Schizosaccharomyces pombe: one gene and its partners. Changing the gene in region 2 together with the main gene of any one other region gives a genetic interaction. Each region holds a gene or a part of one and is shown on either strand. Other genes may lie near its edges.

What was found.
Region 1: mutations in mug28 (region 2) and lon1 together harm fitness more than expected from each alone (negative genetic interaction), as found in Schizosaccharomyces pombe (one large-scale study listed by BioGRID).
Region 3: mutations in mug28 (region 2) and rtf1 together harm fitness less than expected from each alone (positive genetic interaction), as found in Schizosaccharomyces pombe (one large-scale study listed by BioGRID).
Region 4: mutations in mug28 (region 2) and deg1 together harm fitness more than expected from each alone (negative genetic interaction), as found in Schizosaccharomyces pombe (one large-scale study listed by BioGRID).

What each region holds. Positions count from the first base shown.
Region 1 is NC_003424.3:692,127-697,686, forward strand, and holds lon1 (Lon protease), read left to right. Parts: upstream 1-1,611; 5' UTR 1,612-1,704; coding exon 1,705-4,908; 3' UTR 4,909-5,004; downstream 5,005-5,560. Other genes in the region: mitochondrial aspartyl/glutamyl-tRNA amidotransferase subunit B-related Aim41, read left to right, coding at 441-599, 723-935; GTP-binding protein involved in beta-tubulin folding Alp41, read left to right, coding at 5,165-5,229, 5,275-5,329, 5,370-5,442, 5,495-5,560.
Region 2 is NC_003424.3:1,649,473-1,653,533, reverse strand, and holds mug28 (RNA-binding protein Mug28, implicated in mRNA processing), read right to left. Parts: upstream 2,523-4,061; coding exon 2,393-2,522; exon of another isoform or gene 2,350-2,392; coding exon 2,193-2,349; exon of another isoform or gene 2,146-2,192; coding exon 1,458-2,145; exon of another isoform or gene 1,408-1,457; coding exon 553-1,407; downstream 1-552. Other genes in the region: mrp17 (mitochondrial 37S ribosomal protein bS6m), read left to right, coding at 1-178, 228-246; pls1 (phospholipid scramblase), read left to right, coding at 2,777-3,922. UniProt on the Schizosaccharomyces pombe protein: Has a role in sporulation.
Region 3 is NC_003424.3:4,796,674-4,800,859, forward strand, and holds rtf1 (RNA polymerase I termination factor Rtf1), read right to left. Parts: upstream 2,455-4,186; 5' UTR 2,256-2,454; coding exon 1,817-2,255; exon of another isoform or gene 1,770-1,816; coding exon 1,603-1,769; intron 1,558-1,602; coding exon 1,470-1,557; intron 1,431-1,469; coding exon 1,319-1,430; exon of another isoform or gene 1,281-1,318; coding exon 948-1,280; exon of another isoform or gene 903-947; coding exon 751-902; intron 704-750; coding exon 594-703; 3' UTR 522-593; downstream 1-521. Other genes in the region: sec24 (coincidence detector Sec24/Sfb2 subunit), read left to right, coding at 3,082-4,186. UniProt on the Schizosaccharomyces pombe protein: Mediates site-specific replication termination at the polar replication barrier RTS1, a barrier which ensures that replication of the mat1 locus in S.pombe occurs in the centromere-proximal direction.
Region 4 is NC_003424.3:4,160,671-4,164,707, reverse strand, and holds deg1 (tRNA-pseudouridine synthase), read right to left. Parts: upstream 1,990-4,037; 5' UTR 1,909-1,989; coding exon 556-1,908; 3' UTR 501-555; downstream 1-500. Other genes in the region: dia4 (serine--tRNA (Ser) ligase), read left to right, coding at 1-51, 109-430; splicing suppressor Mss51, read left to right, coding at 2,720-3,856.

The DNA of each region.
Region 1 (5,560 bases), 960 kb from region 2:
AAGATGAGGTCTTTATAAAGCATTTCTGTTAATAGGGAAACTAAATTATAGGTCTTAGGTAGCAGGACCTAATTGTAGGCGTAAGTGTTATTACCCGGCACTGTATTGCTTGTTTTTCAATTTTGATTTTGAATAACCATTAATTTAATTGTAAAATCTACCGAAAGCAAATGTCTCATTTTCGCAATCAATCTTAAAATCAGTTTGTACTAATAAATAAATATTGCTAAATTGATGGAGTTACCTCACTGTCAATGAGCGATTTCGCATATTTTAGTTTCCACATCTCCAAACAAAATGGGATAATCCTACTACCAAATACTTTCTGCGCTACACCACCTTTAGGGGAATTTTTGGGTCTGACCTGAAAACATAATCCAAGAAAAAGAATTCAATGTTTAATCAACGCTTAGTACACACATCAAGGATAGCTATTCGTAATGTACAATACTTACGCTATAATAGTACATGTAAGCAAACTTAGGAATAGTCATTTATTTGCTAACGCTTCAGCAATCCCAAATCTTCAAGCAGTTATTCGTAAAAAATTGCTGGATTCCATGAAATCTAGGCAAAAAGATGTTGCGTCTACTTTAAAAGTACGTTGGAAATAAAACGTGACGGTCTACATGTTAAATTGCATCAGTGTTCAAGCAATGTGAAGAGGCTGTCAGAACTATGTTATCTATGTTTGTAGATGAATATGACGCTAACAAGCTTAGGTATTTCTCTCGGAAATCGAATATGCAAACAAGTCGAGTAAGCCAGTTACTACAGACTTAGACGTTCTGCGAGTACTTAAAAAAAACATAAAAAAGCGTAAACAAGCTATTGAACAGTTTCGCAAGGCTGAGCGTCTTGATCTAGCGGAAAAAGAAGAATCTCAGATTCAAACTTTACGACAATTCCTACCTGAACATGCTAGTAATATTTAAAAATCTGTAAAAAGAATACAATCTAGTCATTTAATAAGTCTCTATCCTTCAATGCTTTATCAGCTTACCCTCGAATTTAAAAATATCTTGACTTAAATAACTCAACGTTCTTAATGTGTGCAAGCCACGCTACTAAAGACAGTTTCTTTTGGTTTTTTAATAACAATGTTATACTACGCAGCAATATGACACGATTGATTCTGCAACGTATCATTACATATCCTGTAAATGCTATGCGCTCTTTCAATGTTTTGAATTGAACAGCTAAGACTTATGTAATGAGAAGCTTTCTGAGTTTTTTTACACTGATTCAATTTATGCATGTGAGTTTCCATTCATACAATTAAATTAAACAATCGTCGCTGTTTTCAGCTCTTAACAGCATTATCTTATTATTAGTAATGAAATTTTGGTTAAAATTTGATAAGCGATCGGTATCTTAATTATTTAAAATAAAAGTTAATGCGGTAAAGTAAGTGAAACTATTGCAACGCTTCGATATCTCATCTGTTGAACTATTTGAAGCCGAAAAAATTGGAAACTTTAATTTTTTTCCTTTATAATGAGTATTGTATTAAATGCTTGAATGGTTTATTTAATAGCATTGGAGGTTGGAGGCAAGTAAGCCAATTCCCTCTTTGCGCTCATTATGTGACGGCGACTTACCAGCTAACTCAGCAATTACCAACTACCTTTAAATACGCCAGAAAATTAATAATAGCCCGAAACGTTCTTTGTGCCAGTTTGTAATTTAAATTCGTACAGGCCCATGATTACACGTTTATCGGGCGCTTGCTTGAGGCGATCAGGTGCTAAAAGAAATTGGCCTCGTGAACATTTGGTTCATCGGTCTTTGCTTGCTAGTTTTTCCACTACACAGAGGGTTTTAAAATGCTCAGTCGGACCTTTTCGTACTTCAAATGTTGTTTTCAAAAGTAAAGAACCAAAAGATAACAAACCACTGGATAACAAAAACGATCCCAAAAAGACACATAATGAAGATGAGTCACATACCAACGAATCTTTGCCATCTACGGATAAAAAGAAAAAAAAGGATAATGACGATTTTAAGCAAAATTTGAAATCTTCTTCAAATAAGACTGAGGAAAAGTATTCTGCTACACAAGCTTCTAAGTCTAAAAATGACGAATTTGAATTAGGTGGTGAAGAAAATGAGGATGAAATGCCTTTAAATGGGGAATTTAATAAAAATGTTCCGGCCAAATATTCGGTTCCTGATGTGTATCCTCAATTACTTGCGTTACCCATTGCGCGACGACCTCTTTTCCCTGGTTTTTATAAAGCCATAGTTACCAAAAATCCCTCTGTTTCAGAGGCCATTAAAGAACTGATTAAAAAGAGACAACCTTATATCGGCGCGTTTTTGTTGAAGGATGAAAACACTGATACCGATGTTATAACGAACATTGATCAGGTTTACCCGGTCGGTGTTTTCGCTCAAATCACCAGTATTTTTCCAGCAAAAAGTGGTAGTGAACCTGCATTGACTGCTGTTTTATACCCTCACCGTAGGATACGAATAACTGAACTGATACCTCCAAAAGAGGATGCTGATAGCGCTGCTTCTTCAGACGCAGCAGAACTTGAAACCGATAAAAGCTCTAATCTTTCTTCCAATGGAGAAGTTAAGTCTGATCTCAAACAAGACAATGGGAAAGAGGAACCTGAAAAGGAAGTTGAAAGCACACCCTCAATTCTTCAAAACTTTAAAGTCTCTCTTGTTAATGTCGAAAACGTTCCTAATGAACCTTTTAAACGACAGGATCCTGTAATTAAGGCGGTAACGTCTGAGATTATGAATGTTTTCAAAGATATTGCAAACGTTAGTCCCCTCTTTCGTGAACAAATTGCCAATTTTTCAATATCGCAAACGTCTGGCAATGTTTTTGATGAACCTGCTAAATTGGCAGATTTTGCTGCCGCTGTTTCGGCTGCAGATCATCGCGAATTACAGGAGGTTTTAGAAGCTACAAATATAGGAGATCGTTTGCAAAAGGCTTTGTATGTACTAAAAAAGGAACTATTGAATGCCCAACTTCAGCATAAAATTAACAAGGAAATTGAGCAGAAGATAACTCAACGCCATAAAGAATATCTTTTAACCGAACAGCTAAAGCAAATTAAAAGAGAACTTGGACAAGAACTTGATAGCAAAGAAGCATTAGTAACTGAGTTCAAGAAACGAACTGAAAGCTTGAGTATGCCTGATCACGTGAAAAAGGTTTTCAATGATGAACTGTCCAAATTTCAGCATTTAGAACCAATGGCTGCTGAATTTAACATTACTCGTAATTATTTGGACTGGATAACCCAACTTCCTTGGGGAAAGAGGTCTGTTGAAAATTTCGATTTAGATCATGCAAAGGAAGTCCTTGATCGAGATCATTATGGGCTTAAAGATGTTAAGGATCGTGTTCTTGAGTTAGTAGCTGTAGGTAAGCTAAGAGGAACTATGCAAGGAAAGATTATGTGTTTAGTTGGTCCGCCAGGTGTCGGTAAGACTTCTGTTGGAAAATCTATTGCATCTGCCTTAAACAGGGAATTCTTTCGCTTCAGTGTGGGCGGTCTGACTGATGTCGCTGAAATCAAAGGACATCGTCGTACCTATATCGGAGCAATGCCTGGAAAAATTGTGCAAGCTTTGAAAAAGGTGCAAACTGAGAACCCTTTGATTCTTATTGATGAAATAGACAAAGTGGGCAAAAGTCATCAAGGGGATCCTGCGAGTGCACTTTTAGAGCTTTTAGATTCAGAACAGAACTCAGCTTTCCTAGATTACTATATGGATATTCCACTCGATGTTTCATCTGTTTTATTTGTCTGCACGGCGAACACCATTGATACTATTCCTCCACCTTTGTTGGATCGTATGGAGGTTATTGAACTATCTGGATATGTTTCAGCTGAAAAAGTTAACATTGCTAAAGGTTATCTTATACCCCAAGCCAAAGCTGCTTGTGGTTTAAAGGATGCTAATGTGAATATCAGTGATGACGCTATTAAGGGTTTAATTAGTTACTATGCTCATGAAAGCGGTGTACGAAATTTGAAAAAATCTATTGAGAAAATATTTCGTAAAACATCTTTTAGTATTGTTAAAGAAATTGACGATGAATTAAATTCTAAAGAGAAGTCTACGGGTAAGTCGGGAAAGAAAACATCTCCTCAATCATCAGAAGATGCAGCAAACAAAGAAGCATCATCTGTTCCGTTAAAAGTTCCCGATAAAGTTAATATCGAGATTGAAGAAAAGGACTTGACTAAATATTTGGGTCCCCCCATTTATACTTCTCAGCGACTTTATGACACTACTCCTCCTGGTGTTGTCATGGGACTTGGTTGGACACCCATGGGAGGTGTTTCGATGTATGTAGAAACTATTGTTAAAAACATTTTATCATCCAATTCTACTCCCTCTTTGGAAAGGACGGGGCAACTGGGAGATGTGATGAAAGAGTCATCTGAAATTTCGTATTCCTTTTCAAAAAGCTTTTTGTCTAAGCATTTTCCAAATAATAAATTTTTTGAACATGCGCGTTTGCATATGCATTGTCCCGAAGGCTCCATTTCTAAGGATGGCCCATCAGCAGGTATCACAATGGCTACATCTTTACTTTCTTTAGCATTGGATACTCCGGTACCAGCGACTACTGCCATGACTGGTGAGCTAACCTTGACCGGTAAAATTTTACGCATTGGTGGCTTACGAGAAAAGACGGTTGCTGCCAAATTATCTGGTATGAAAGAAATACTATTTCCAAAAAGTAACTTAGCCGATTGGGAACAACTTCCTGATTATGTTAAAGAAGGTTTAACTGGTGTCCCTGTTGCATGGTATGATGATGTTTTTAAACGGGTTTTTTCAAACATTGATGCCGAAAAATGCAACAATCTTTGGCCAAATTTAATAAAGTCATCCTCCAAGCAGCATCAAATTTCACCCAGTCATTAACATTCTCCTATTAGAAGGATACTACCTTTATGAAGAAATTATCTAAATTCATTATGTAATAGATATAGTTAATAACGATTTATGTATTGTGCTATATTTAAAAGACAACATGTAGTTTGAATTTATTCTGTTCAATCGTTCGTAAAACAGTAATATCTTTCTATAAAGTTGATAGCTTAAGCCCTTGTTGAGTAACGCAATGCAAGGCAAATTCATCGCATATTTTCTTATTTCTTGGTTACTCTACTATTGAGAAATGGGATTATTGACTATTTTGAGACAGCAAAAGCTAAAGGAACGAGAAGTCAGGGTTTTGTTACTGTAAGATGATTCAAATATATACAGAGTGAAATCTAATGACTTTAGGGGGTTGGATAATGCAGGTAAAACGACAATTTTGAAGTGCCTGTTGAACGAGGATGTAAGTATCTTTTAAGGCTCCATAATTTATCGATTGATAGGTAAATGAAGTTTCGCCTACCTTTGGCTTTCAAATTCGAACGCTTGAAGTAGAAGGACTCCGATTCACGATATGTACGTAGCTTGCAATTTTCGAAATGAACAGTCTTAAGCTTACTAATTCAAGGGGACATTGGGGGGCAGAAAACGCTAAGAAATTTTTGGAAAAATTACTTTGAATCAACCGAAGCAA
Region 2 (4,061 bases):
AGTCCATGGGACTTAAGGAACTGGCTAAACCTATAAAAAAACTAAATCAATCTTACTCTTTTGGTCACTGGTGGTCTATGACCTTTTACAGTAACCCCACAGTTCAATCTGAGATACAGAGGATTCTGAGACTTGAACCTTCGGTTCTTCGCTATATGATCGTCAAAAAAGCAGATAAGTATGTTCTTTTTATAAACTATTTTATTATACTAATTCCTTTTGTGTAGATTGAGTGATTTAATGTAGAATGAGCGTATTCATATTTTGAGAAAATAAAAATATTCGCAGAGCTGTCCAATTATCTTTTATTATTCTTGTTTTTTTGGGGTTTTTTCTTCTTTTCTTCTTTTATAAAATAAACATACTTTTCCAGAGCTAAAATGTGAAATTTCAACCGTTGTTAACGACTCCTTGTGTTTCAACTTTTTCCGATCTTCTTTGTATAATACTATGTCCCTAAATTTCATGGGAGATAGATTAAAAAAAAGAACTGTTAAAATATTTAAACGACAGGTACTGATATTATGTCCTTTAGACATATCTTGCTTTTATTTATTGGTTTAATACAATGTTGGTTAAAGGCGATAGTGAAGTTTTGAATGTGGAGTGTTTTATGCCGAATTTATGGCTTGGGTTTAGGTTTTCGTTTGAAATCACCGCTTCACGTAGCTTAGCGGCACATGAATCTAAACGAGTTGGTAATGTTTGTCTAGGATCGCTATACCCGTGCTGCTGTATAGATTGTATTAGAGGTTGAGGCCATTCCTGATGATACTCTAAAATTTGTGGTTCAGTAGCCATTGGAATTGTTAGAGAGGGCGATGGAACAACTGGAGGGTAAGATTGGCTAAATATAGCACTCAGTCGCTTTTTGCGATCTTCTCTCTTTTCTGCATAATTCACGAATAATCTTTTCTTTCCGAATAACACTCCATTTAACGTGTTAATTGCTTGCACAGCTTCAAATGGATGACTGAAGGATACGAAACCATAGCCTTTGGATATTTCTGTACTGGGATACGACGCTAAAGTGCAAGATTTTATCCTTCCAAATTTCGAAAACAGTTCTTCTAATTGTTGTGTGTTTCCTACTATATTATCATCCAAGTTTTTAACAAATAAATTACAAGGATCAATTGTCGGTGTTGAGGTTGGTGTTGGCGTTACTGTCGTTTCATACGATGTTTGGAAAGAAGGGAATGAAATAAATGGATTTGGCAAAGCAGAAGTTTTGGCAATCACTGGAATTTCAAACGGCTGAGGCATTTCCATATTTGGGGGCAATAAATTTGTCATGGTTCCTTCTGGGTGATTTAACAAATTAGAGCAAAATCCCTGAACAGGTTGTTTTATAAAAAGTTGTAAAATGGATCCTTCATACGCAATGGCGTGAAATTTTTCAATGATCTAAATTAAAAGGTCAGTAATGCTATAGCAAAAAATAGCTTGCTTAATACCTCTATGCAACTTTCATAGGTGCTCACAGCCACTTCTGCGTAGTGAGTCATATCTTCATTTATGCTTTGATTGATGGCTACACCGAGAATGTGACCATGATTGCTAAACTCATTGTAAAGCTCGACTGGTGATACTTTCAACGGAAGGTTTAAAATCCCAATCACAAAAATAGAAGGGTTGTCGTACAAAAATTGGGGATTCTGTTCTAGAAGCATACCTGGCATCATTTGACAGGGTTCAAAAGCAGATTTTAGGTGTAAATGTTCCGTGTTATTTTCCTTATATGGCTCAATAAAAGTGTTAGAAATGGACGGTGTATTATTATCTTTGCAATTTGGCCTGATAGACAGATGCTTTGGCTCATTCTCCGTGAAATCTGAAACTAAGAGTGTTTGAACTGCTTTTGAGCTAAGTATACTAGTTCCTGTTGCTTCTGCAAATGCATTCTCTTTGTCGTGCACTTTTGGGGGGTTTGATTGAACTAAATTTGAGGTATTCATCGAATATTCCTTTTTGTCTTTGGTACTAACTCGAACCTCTGATACTGTCGGTCGTGTTTCCTTTGTATACTTTTCTATTTTTGAAAACCGAATTTTTGCTTTTTCATTATTCGAGTGATGAATTTGGTCAACTCCATTTTCCAACTTATTTTTGTATCTCTCCACGATATGCGTATACTCGACCTTCCTATAATTGTTGCTCTATTAGCGTTTATTATTTTAAAATCTACGTACAAAGTATTTCCTTGGAACGAACTCCCGTTTAAGGAGGCAATTGCGTTGTCAGCGCTACATTTGTTTTCAAATGTGATAAATGCAAATAAAGTTGGGGATTTAGAGTCAGTACTCTTATTCTTCTTTCTACTTAGCATGTGGAATTTTGAGAAATTACCTTAAACAGTTAGAGAAAAAATTGTTTATTCATATACGATTACCGAAAGGTTCAAACAGTTCATGAAGATCTGAGCTTTGGCACGTTGAAGGTAAATTCCCTACGTAAATGGAAATTTCACACTTCTTAGTGCTCCTTTTGTTCTTTTCTGAAAGTTTTTCAAGTGCAATCATTGTGATGTGTCTAGTTGGTAATTATAGAATTCGGAATTCTCAATGTAAACAAAAGTAAACAGGAAATTACCGCAATGTTAGCTGTTCATAAGCAATTTAATGTAGTATCCTATATTTCGTAAAGCTTTAAGGTAATCGCATAGTATGTGCTATTTTAAATTGTGAAACTTACTACACAGCCTTTATTACATATTTGTCTCAGCAACCCTCTGTGGTATAGGTGAACCACAAACTAATTTTAATTTCTCAAACCTATGCTTGAAATTCTATGGGCTAACATTACTCCAATTCAAACCTTTGTCTCCAGTAATCATTTAACTATGCTTTATGGGCTCAAACGGTTTGGATGTCGCCTTTATCATCATAGCAAATCTACACGATACATTGACGCTACAGCGAAAGTAGTCTCTCAAGAGCCTGCTGCCATTAGCAGTACTGGAGCTATTCCATTAAATTCTCCAGCGGCCCCTTTATTATCACAAGATGTTCTTATAGTAGAGAGGCAACTTGAAATGATGAATGTTTTTCTTGGTTATGAACAGGCTAACCGCTATGTAATTCTTAACCAACAAGGTCAGCATCTTGGATACATTGCAGAACAGGGTGCCTCATCCATATTATCAAGTTTATCAAGACAATTTTTCCACACACATCGTGCGTTTAAGGCAGATGTAATGGACAGTAACGGCCAGTTGGTGTTACAACTCAATCGACCATTTTCTTGGATAAACTCCCGGTTACAAATTCATTCTATTGATTACAGTAAGTTCTCGTCTACTTTAGTTGGCGAAGTCCTTCAAAAATGGCATTTATGGCGCCGTCGCTATGAATTGTTCCTTGCGAAGCGTTCTATGTTTGAACAGTTTGCCAAAATTGATGAGCGAGTGCTAAGTTGGGAGTTTCTGTTGCGAAACGAGCAGGATCGCATCCTAGGTAGTGTTTCACGGAATTTCATGGGGCTTCCTCGTGAATTTTTTACTGATACTGGTAATTACGTTCTTCGATTTACCTCTACGAGTGCAGCCAATGGTTCTGTAAATGAAAATCAATTGCTTCAAGCTGCTCATGGAATCGCTAATGATGTTTGTGCACGTGATATGAGTTTAGAAGAAAGGGCAGTTATGCTAGGCAGTGCTGTCACTATTGATTTTGATTATTTTAGCCGTATTCATGGTGGCCCAGCACTGGGACTGAATATTCCGTTTATGTTTGGAGGTTCTTCCTCCAACCACGATTATCCAGCTGAAGACCTGTCTGCTCAGGAAATTTTAAAAAACGACCAGGAAACTACGCCTTCCACCAATGATTCTTCATCTGAAACGAAGTCTCCTTTTTTGTCTGATGCAGACTTGGATCAGCAAGATTTTTGGGATATTTTTGACCGTGACGGGGATGATTGATTGTTCAACTGATTATTATTTATTTATTAACGATATATCCAAAAAGATACTTTTTCTCCTTAAAAAGTTAAATCTGATTAGTCATTACTATTACTGTTTTTATTATTATTATTATTATTACTATCCCTTCTAGTCATTA
Region 3 (4,186 bases), 3.1 Mb from region 2:
TGATTTGTTATTTTGTGGGCATCACTTCTGTATTCATGTATTATTAATGAAACTTACTTAGTTTTCATTTATGTCTCTCTGTGTACTATTAATTTAATTCAAAAAATTCAGAAATGACCTGTCAAAATAGCCTCTTATGAATGCGGTTAATGTATGAGTTATTGACTGATAAAAAAACTAGATGCAGGCACCCTTGCTAAATTAATCAATGATGATGATGATTATTTTATTTTATAGCTTGACATTCGTTCTTTTTTTTAACCTTTTATTAATAATGGGTTAAATTATAACATCATATCGACTGGGGATGTAGTTTAGGGGTATAACGTTTCATTCGCATAGTTCGCACCTTGAAAAGGTCCCGGGTTCGATTCCCGGCATCTCCAATGTTAGAAACTATTTTTCCTTTTTATCCACATTTGTTTTATTTATTGACTACACGGCAAACAGGTTACATACACAAATGTATACTAGAAAAAATATAAAAGTGAATTTACTAATATAAGTAAGATGAGAACATTCTCTCAATGAATACACAAAAAATTTAAATCTATGACTTTGAGGAAGTAGTTAAAATAAATTTGTTCATGTAGCTAGCATAAATCATCGGCGTTAGAAAAAGCGGTGTAAGAATCATGTAAGTTCGAAATGTAAGTTTCTTCAGGAGAAGAATTTAGCATTTTGTGCAAATGAATTAAAGTATCTAAAGCGTTAACATATTAACAATAATTATTATATTCAAAAATTTACCAGAAAACGTAGAAAGTCCATCGATAAACAAGGTTTTTTTTATTCTTTCGAAATGCGATTTACAAGCATCTGCTGTCCATAGGTGATTAGCATATTCTGATAAGCATTTCCAATCAATCATCCGTTCCTCTGCAACATTAAGGTCCATCATTCTGAATTTAATTAGCTTCTTATTTAAAATTTTATAATTGGAGTACCTTTCAATTAACCATATACTATCGCCAAGTTTGAAAGGGGAACTATTATGTATATCTCTGGAAATTAGTGTGTAATACTTCCACCTACAATGATGACGGTGTCGATTTCTCATGTTTTTAGAAATTAGACTCCATTGAATAGGGGATGAAGGATTGCTTTGCAAGTATTGATTAACCGTTTTGATTAATTTTTCTTTCTCCTGGATAGTCCATGGTGAACGATTGATTTCACCAGGTTGAATGTAGTCGCGCCAATGATCTCTGCAATGCATTGGTAGTCTATTCGACAATTTGCCAATTAAGCTCCAGGATGTTCCATGTTTTTCAACAAGTCTATTAGTTAGTTGCAATTTGGAAAGTAAACTACATACTTTTTCAATTCTGCCTCATCTTCTATAGTCCATTTACATTTTTTCTTAAATGGATTATATTTTCTGCGGAGATAATTGTAAATACTCTTTTTATCCCTATCGATAAGCTCATCTATTATTAATTAGTAACAAGTGATAGTAATTGACTTACACAAACAATTATATAATGTTTTCATTTCATCACGATGGTTATCAGACCAAACATATTGAAGAAATTGTTCATCAGACCAATTTTTTTTCTGTTTTTTAATATTTATAATAAAACAGCAAGCTAAAGACCATACCTTTTTAAACATAGCAATTTCTTTTTCCAAAGTGATAATGTCGTTTGCTCCCCATGATCCAGACGACGCTTTTTTAACGTATTGAAACCTTTCATAACCTGGAATGTTAAAATATCCCTTAAGATGCCTATACACAGTCCTTCGTGAAACATTGGGCACTTGAATTTCTAGACTTGAATTAGCGGATTTTTTTGAAAGCACTCAGGTGTCATACGAAATTGAATGAGTAAATTATTGAAAGGTTTTGGAAGTCTTTTGGTTTTAATAAGAAGATCTCTCGCAGCCACAAAGTTTAATTCGCTTTCTTTCAAAAATTCATCAATTAGTTGACTTAACAGAACCCAAAAAGTGGGTGTCCAGTTGGTGTAATCTCTACTGAATACAAAGTCTTTATATGAAGTAGTGCCTGTTTTTTTGAAGCCTCGACATGTTTCATGGTCTTTCGCACTTCCAGCAATTGCTGTTTTCACATTTTCAGGTGATACCATAGTCTCATCATAATTGTATTCATGAAAGCTTATGGGGTTTCCCAAGTAAATGAAAGAACTTGTATTTTTCGAGTCACCAATGGGTGATAAGAGTTGATCATCGACAAAGAGCTCTTCATTGTCCTCTGTATCCGGTCTGCAACTTAAATTGTTTTTTCCTTGCATAATAATGTTCACTTGTCTGAAGAAATATTAAGAAAAAAACATTGACAAAAGGTAATCAGTATAGCAAGGGACCCGGGGTGTAATAGTTCATGTAAGACAAAACCAAATAGCGCAGGCAACTTCAATTATTCAATCTATAATTGAACTTTTGATACTTTGCAATTCTGAATTCTAATTAACTAGTGAGCCTGTTAAAATTGGGTAACATTATAGAGCGTTGGTGTAGCTAAATAGTGTACGATACATGCAGTGATGGTTTTTGAGAGCATTTTTAAAAAAATTTCAAAATTTCTTAAGATGTGACTCTCTTGTTTATGATATATACATGTAAAATTTTTAAAATAGAAAATTAAGTATGAGTGGTTTAGAAGAGTTTTTTTAGTTGAAAACGTTTACAGGTATCTGCCTCATATCAAACTTAAAAAAAAAAAAGAATAAATTAAAACGATAAAATATCTCTATTGGCTTTTGTTTACTAATAATCACTATTTTTTATCAATTAGGTACAAAGTTCCTGCCTATGTTAAAATTATTAGGGTAATAACGTGTGTCACCGATATAATTACTACGATACATAGTATTTAATAACGAAACTGTAAAGCTCGTTAACTTTCCAGTGATTACCTTAACTTTCCATCTACGTTAGTTGAACCAGCGAATGTAGCTGCCATTTACCTACTCCAGGGAACACTGTTAAAAACGTCTTTTTGTGAAAAGGAAGGAAAAATAGAGGGATCTTCAAAAAAGTTATTAAATAATTCAGTGTTTCTTTTCTTTTTTTTGCTAGCAATATACCACTGTAAGTAAAAAAAAATACACTAAAGCAATGAGTCAGGAGGACGCTTTCTACGGAAAGGGTAGTTATGGAGCTAGTAGTGGAAATTCGAATATACCTCCTCAAGGATTTCAGCCAGTTTATCCAGTTGCTGGCCAGCTAGATAATACCGCTCCTTATGTCGGGGCAGTTGCTGAGGGTACAGCTGAAGGCATTGTAAGCAATGGTGAATACGCTGTTGGAGCTATGGGTGCTGCTCCTACCAACATAATAGGATCTGTCGATCAACAACCACCCGTTTCTCATACCTCTCATAAGTCTCGTAGACAGTATCCTGCTGAGGTGTTTGAACTTACAAATACCTTAGCAGCGTCACCGGCTCCCCCTTCTCTTTCAGAGCCCTCTTACGTTATGGCACGAACTCCATCCTCTTCACCATATCCTCATGATCGCGCAGAGGTGGGAACTAAATCTCTCTCTGCACAATTTGGCGGAATGTCACTTGGAGCAGATGGTGCAGCAGCTATGCCTACCAATGAGTTAGTTTCTGTTGATTTGTACAATCAAACACCAGAAATTTCTGACTTAACCTCTCCTCCTCCTCCTATTAATTTACCCTTAAGCTATTCCGCTACTGGAGCAGCTACTTCCAATTGCCCTCCCAAATATGTTCGATCCACGATAAACTGTGTACCGACAACAAATAGCTTGTTAAAAAAGTCAAAAATTCCATTTGCATTAGTCATCCGTCCATATACTAGCTTGGTCGAAGAAGATGATCCAGTTCCAGTTGTTACTGATACTATTATATCACGATGCCGCAGGTGTCGTATGTATATCAATCCTTTTAGTATCTTTATTGACAATGGCCATCGCTATCGCTGTAATTCTTGTGGTATTGTTAATGAAGTACCCCAGTCATATGACTGGGACAGTTTCAGAAATGTCCAACGTGATCGCTGGCAACGTCCTGAGCTCAATTATGCAGTTGTTGATTTTATTGCTCCTCAAGAATATATGGTTCGTGCTCCACAACCTTTGGTTTACGTATTTTTAATTGATATTTCGTTTGTATCCATATCTTCTGGTATGGTTGGTACTGCAAGTCGTGCAATTCTGGAATCATTGGATCGCATCCCCAATAAAGAAGGACGTG
Region 4 (4,037 bases), 2.5 Mb from region 2:
GATTGTTAATTTTCAAAAAGAGTTTGTAGAAACTTTAAAAATACCCGCAAGGTACATATCAAATCTAACAAAAATACCACTTTAATGATCTAATGCTAACGAATATAGAATTTTGAATATGCCAACTGCGGAATTGGGATCTTCGGCCTCTCAAAAATATGACATCGAAGCGTGGATGCCAGCGCGACAATCATACGGGGAGATAACTTCAGCATCTAATTGTCTTGAATACCAAGCTAGGCGTCTACTCACACGATATCGAAATGACAAAGACTCGGGTTTTGTTCACACACTGAACGGCACAGCAGCTGCCATCCCTAGGTTAATAATAGCTATCCTTGAAAATCACCAACAAGAGGATGGCACTGTTAAAGTTCCGGAAACCCTTGTCCCTTACATACACAAGGAATACCTTTTTAAAGCAAAATAATTTTAGTACATCATAAGTCTTACTTACAACTAATTATTTAAGAAGGTTATACTAAAATTGATAATATATTTTGGACCAAAATAAAATTAGCAATTAACCTAAAACCTGTTCTGTCATAAGACAATCTATTTAATATTTTCACTCTTCACGTCACTGTCTTTTAAACCTTTTTTACGTTTATATCTTTCATTGACGACCTCCACTGATTCCTGACGTTGTCTAGAAAGAATTGGGATGTACTTTTTTGTTCGCTTCAGCAATCCTTCACCAACGTTCATAGTACTGCTTGACTCTTCCGATTTGCCATATCTTTTTACATTATGATCTGCTATGTCAAGCATAAACGAAGCTATCTGCTCTCGAATACGTAGACTATGCCACTGATGATATATGGTTTCATATGTATGTTTAGCGATACGAGGAGCAGTCGTAGGACTATCCGTAGGTAGTGTCCATTCAATATTATCAAAGTCACAGTCGTACAAAATCAAAGGATACTCACTTGCCATATCATAAATTGGCTTAGTAGGGACCTTTTTAATATCCAAAAGATCATTGATGAGAGAGGCCGGCTCAAGCTTTTGACCAATTAAAAATAGAATGGCCATCATACATCGTACCTGATGCCATAAAAATGCAGTTCCTTGTAGGTCAAAAGCGTAAAGACCGGTACTGGGATCAATGCAAATAACCTTTGAACTGAGAATTCGACGGTGATAATTTGTAATTTGTTTAGAAGCATCTATTTTGCAAAAATTTCGAAAGTCATGCTCACCTAGATAAAGTGCTGCGGCTTCATTCATTCGATCAATGTCAAGAGAACCACCGGGATAATCCTTAGTAAACAAGTATTTATAATGACGCTGTTTACAGGAAAATCGAGCATCAAAGCCTTCTGGTGGAAATGCATAGCCAGTAATACGTATATCTGCGGGCAACAGGCGATTCAATACATCACAATATATGATAGGTCTTCTTTCTGAATGTCGTACATTTAATGATATAACCTGACCCATGGCTGAAACTCCCTTATCAGTACGTCCACATCGACTAAAGGAACATGATGAAGGATCAGTGATGAGATGAGCTCTCAACAGCGCTTCAAACACCTTTCCTTCAACAGTGGGCAAAGGAGTCGGTTCTAACTGGTAGGCAAGACCATTGTAATTCCAACCACAATAGGCAAATTTAAAAGCAACAAAAACTGTTTTTTCTAGTTGAAACGGTCTGACAGGTTTCAGTTTTGGAAGACTACTTGCGTCCTGAAGCGCATGTTGCAAAACTAGTTCTTGGCTCAGATGCTGGGGTTCTATTTCATTTCCATTATCCAATTTGTTTTTATTTTTAATTACTTCATTTTTCCCCTCAATTTCTTTATTGGGAAGTGAATTTGTATTTTTTTGCAATTTCCCGTCCAATTCTAAAATTCTGGATATTAGCTGGTCTCGAGACCATCCAGCATATTTGGAGGCGGGCATTCGAAGGATTTTAGAAAATTGAAAAATCTTGCCTGAATTATATTGCCAATTTAATTACTGCCTTTGACGAGGTCAGGTGGCAGACGAATAGGTTCGCAAGGCTCTGATAATTAATGACTTGCTTGTCATAAGAGGCAGACATTTTCGCAGTAAAGTTATAAATCATCTATGTAACATTGAGAATTTATCAGATATATTTTTAGTTGCTCATTAGTACAACAGCTTTGGGATTCTGTATGGTCAGTTTGCAGTCTTGTTGGGCCAGCTGGAACTGTTACTAAAATATTGAGTTCACTTTACATTACGAGCAATGAAAATTATAGAAGCTTAGATTAACACAGCTACTTTCGAGATGATTCGTATTCCTTATAGTTGCATTGTAGACTTCCAATAAAGAAAGTGCATTTCCCGTTATGCAATTGATTTACTAGATAGTTCTTTAATATCAACATTATTGAAAATCACCTCTTTGTTGAGTCAACTCAATACTTAATATTTTTTTAAAGAATAAAATTCGCTACTGAATGTCGGTTGCTAATGAACAAAGCAATTGCTTCTACGAACTAATTTGTTAATTTTTTTTACTAAGCATTTCAATAGTTTGCCTTGTTAACGTATTTTTTATGTTCCTTGACATTTTTAATTTTAGTTTCTTCGTCTGCTACTAAACACGTTCACCTAAATCAATACTTGTTAAATTTAGCTGCAACACCGACATAAAAATTTATTTCATTACCTATAGTTACATTGAAACCGGTAGAAGGTTGTTTTTTGGTTCAAGAGTGACGTTTCGCTTATATTTTTTTTACTTATGTCGTTTTTAAAAAATCTCTTCAAGAAGAAATCCCCAACTCATGAATTATTCCATCCTTTATCGCGTTCTCCCTTAACGGCTCTTCGCCGTCGCTCTGAGCATATCAAACAAGTCTATCGGTGTCCAATTTCGGGAAAGTCAGTGGAATATGAGTGTCCTGAATCTGGATTTCCTACTCATTGTAATAGAACTCATTGGGAACAGGACAAGATTCACCAATCCCTTATCCCAAAACTACGCCAAATTAATGAAGACTATCATGACTTAGCACGACCAAACCCTTTGCCGGAACTACTCAAACTTCCTGGACCCATGGAAGAAGATGAAGTAGTTTCTCTTCTGTCATGGGATTCATTCTTCTATACCCGCGATTTCCCAAAGTTCCAATCGTCTAGAACTGCTAGACATATTACTAGTTTATTAACATATCCCATGTCAATCGGCGCTATCCTTCACAAGAATTCTCCTTATAATTTAAAAAATGGGTTAACTCCCCAGGGTCTACAATCATTAACTGCTCTACGATATATGCTTCATCGTCCTTTGTCTGCTCAATCTACTGATCCCAGACCCACTAGAATTTTCGTTTTGGGTGCTACCAAAGAATGTTCATTACCACCATCAATTTGGTTACAAGGATTGAACTTTTTGTTCCCAGGTCGTTTATTTCAATTGCATTTTATCGGACCTGAAGTTGTTGTTCCTTCTAAGCAACCCAATTTGCCTTCCCCACTCAGCCTTCATTTTCATCAGGATTACTACCACAATTTGCATAGAGTTGGAGCCTTTGAGCCTTTTGACCCCTACTATGATACTTTTTTTCTTCCGATGCCTCTTATAAGTCATCCACTTTATTCTTCATCGTGGATTCCGACACTTCACGATTTGGTATCGACTCGTTGCTCTGTATGGCTCACAAGTCCTTCATCTCAAAGAACAACCAAAGATTTGGAAGTTCTTAATAATGTTTTGAAAGATTCAATTGAGCCCTTGTTATTGCCAACTGTTAATAAATTTGCCAGCTTAGGCTGGTCTGTTGATGATTCAAACCTTCATGAAGTTTATCACGCAAATCAAGAAGTATTTGGATTCAGAGCCCTTTATTATAATGTCCAAAATGTTTCCAAAGAGTAATTCTTGTCCGTTAAGTCGTCTACCATCTTCCAATTTCATATTCTAATCTAAAAGCAATCTATTAATGAATTTTAAGGTCCAAATTTTGGATTGTGAATAAACAAAATATTAGTATATATGTAATGATTATCAATTACGAATTTTGAAAAGAAGACATGCCACCTTATGTCAAAACAAGCTA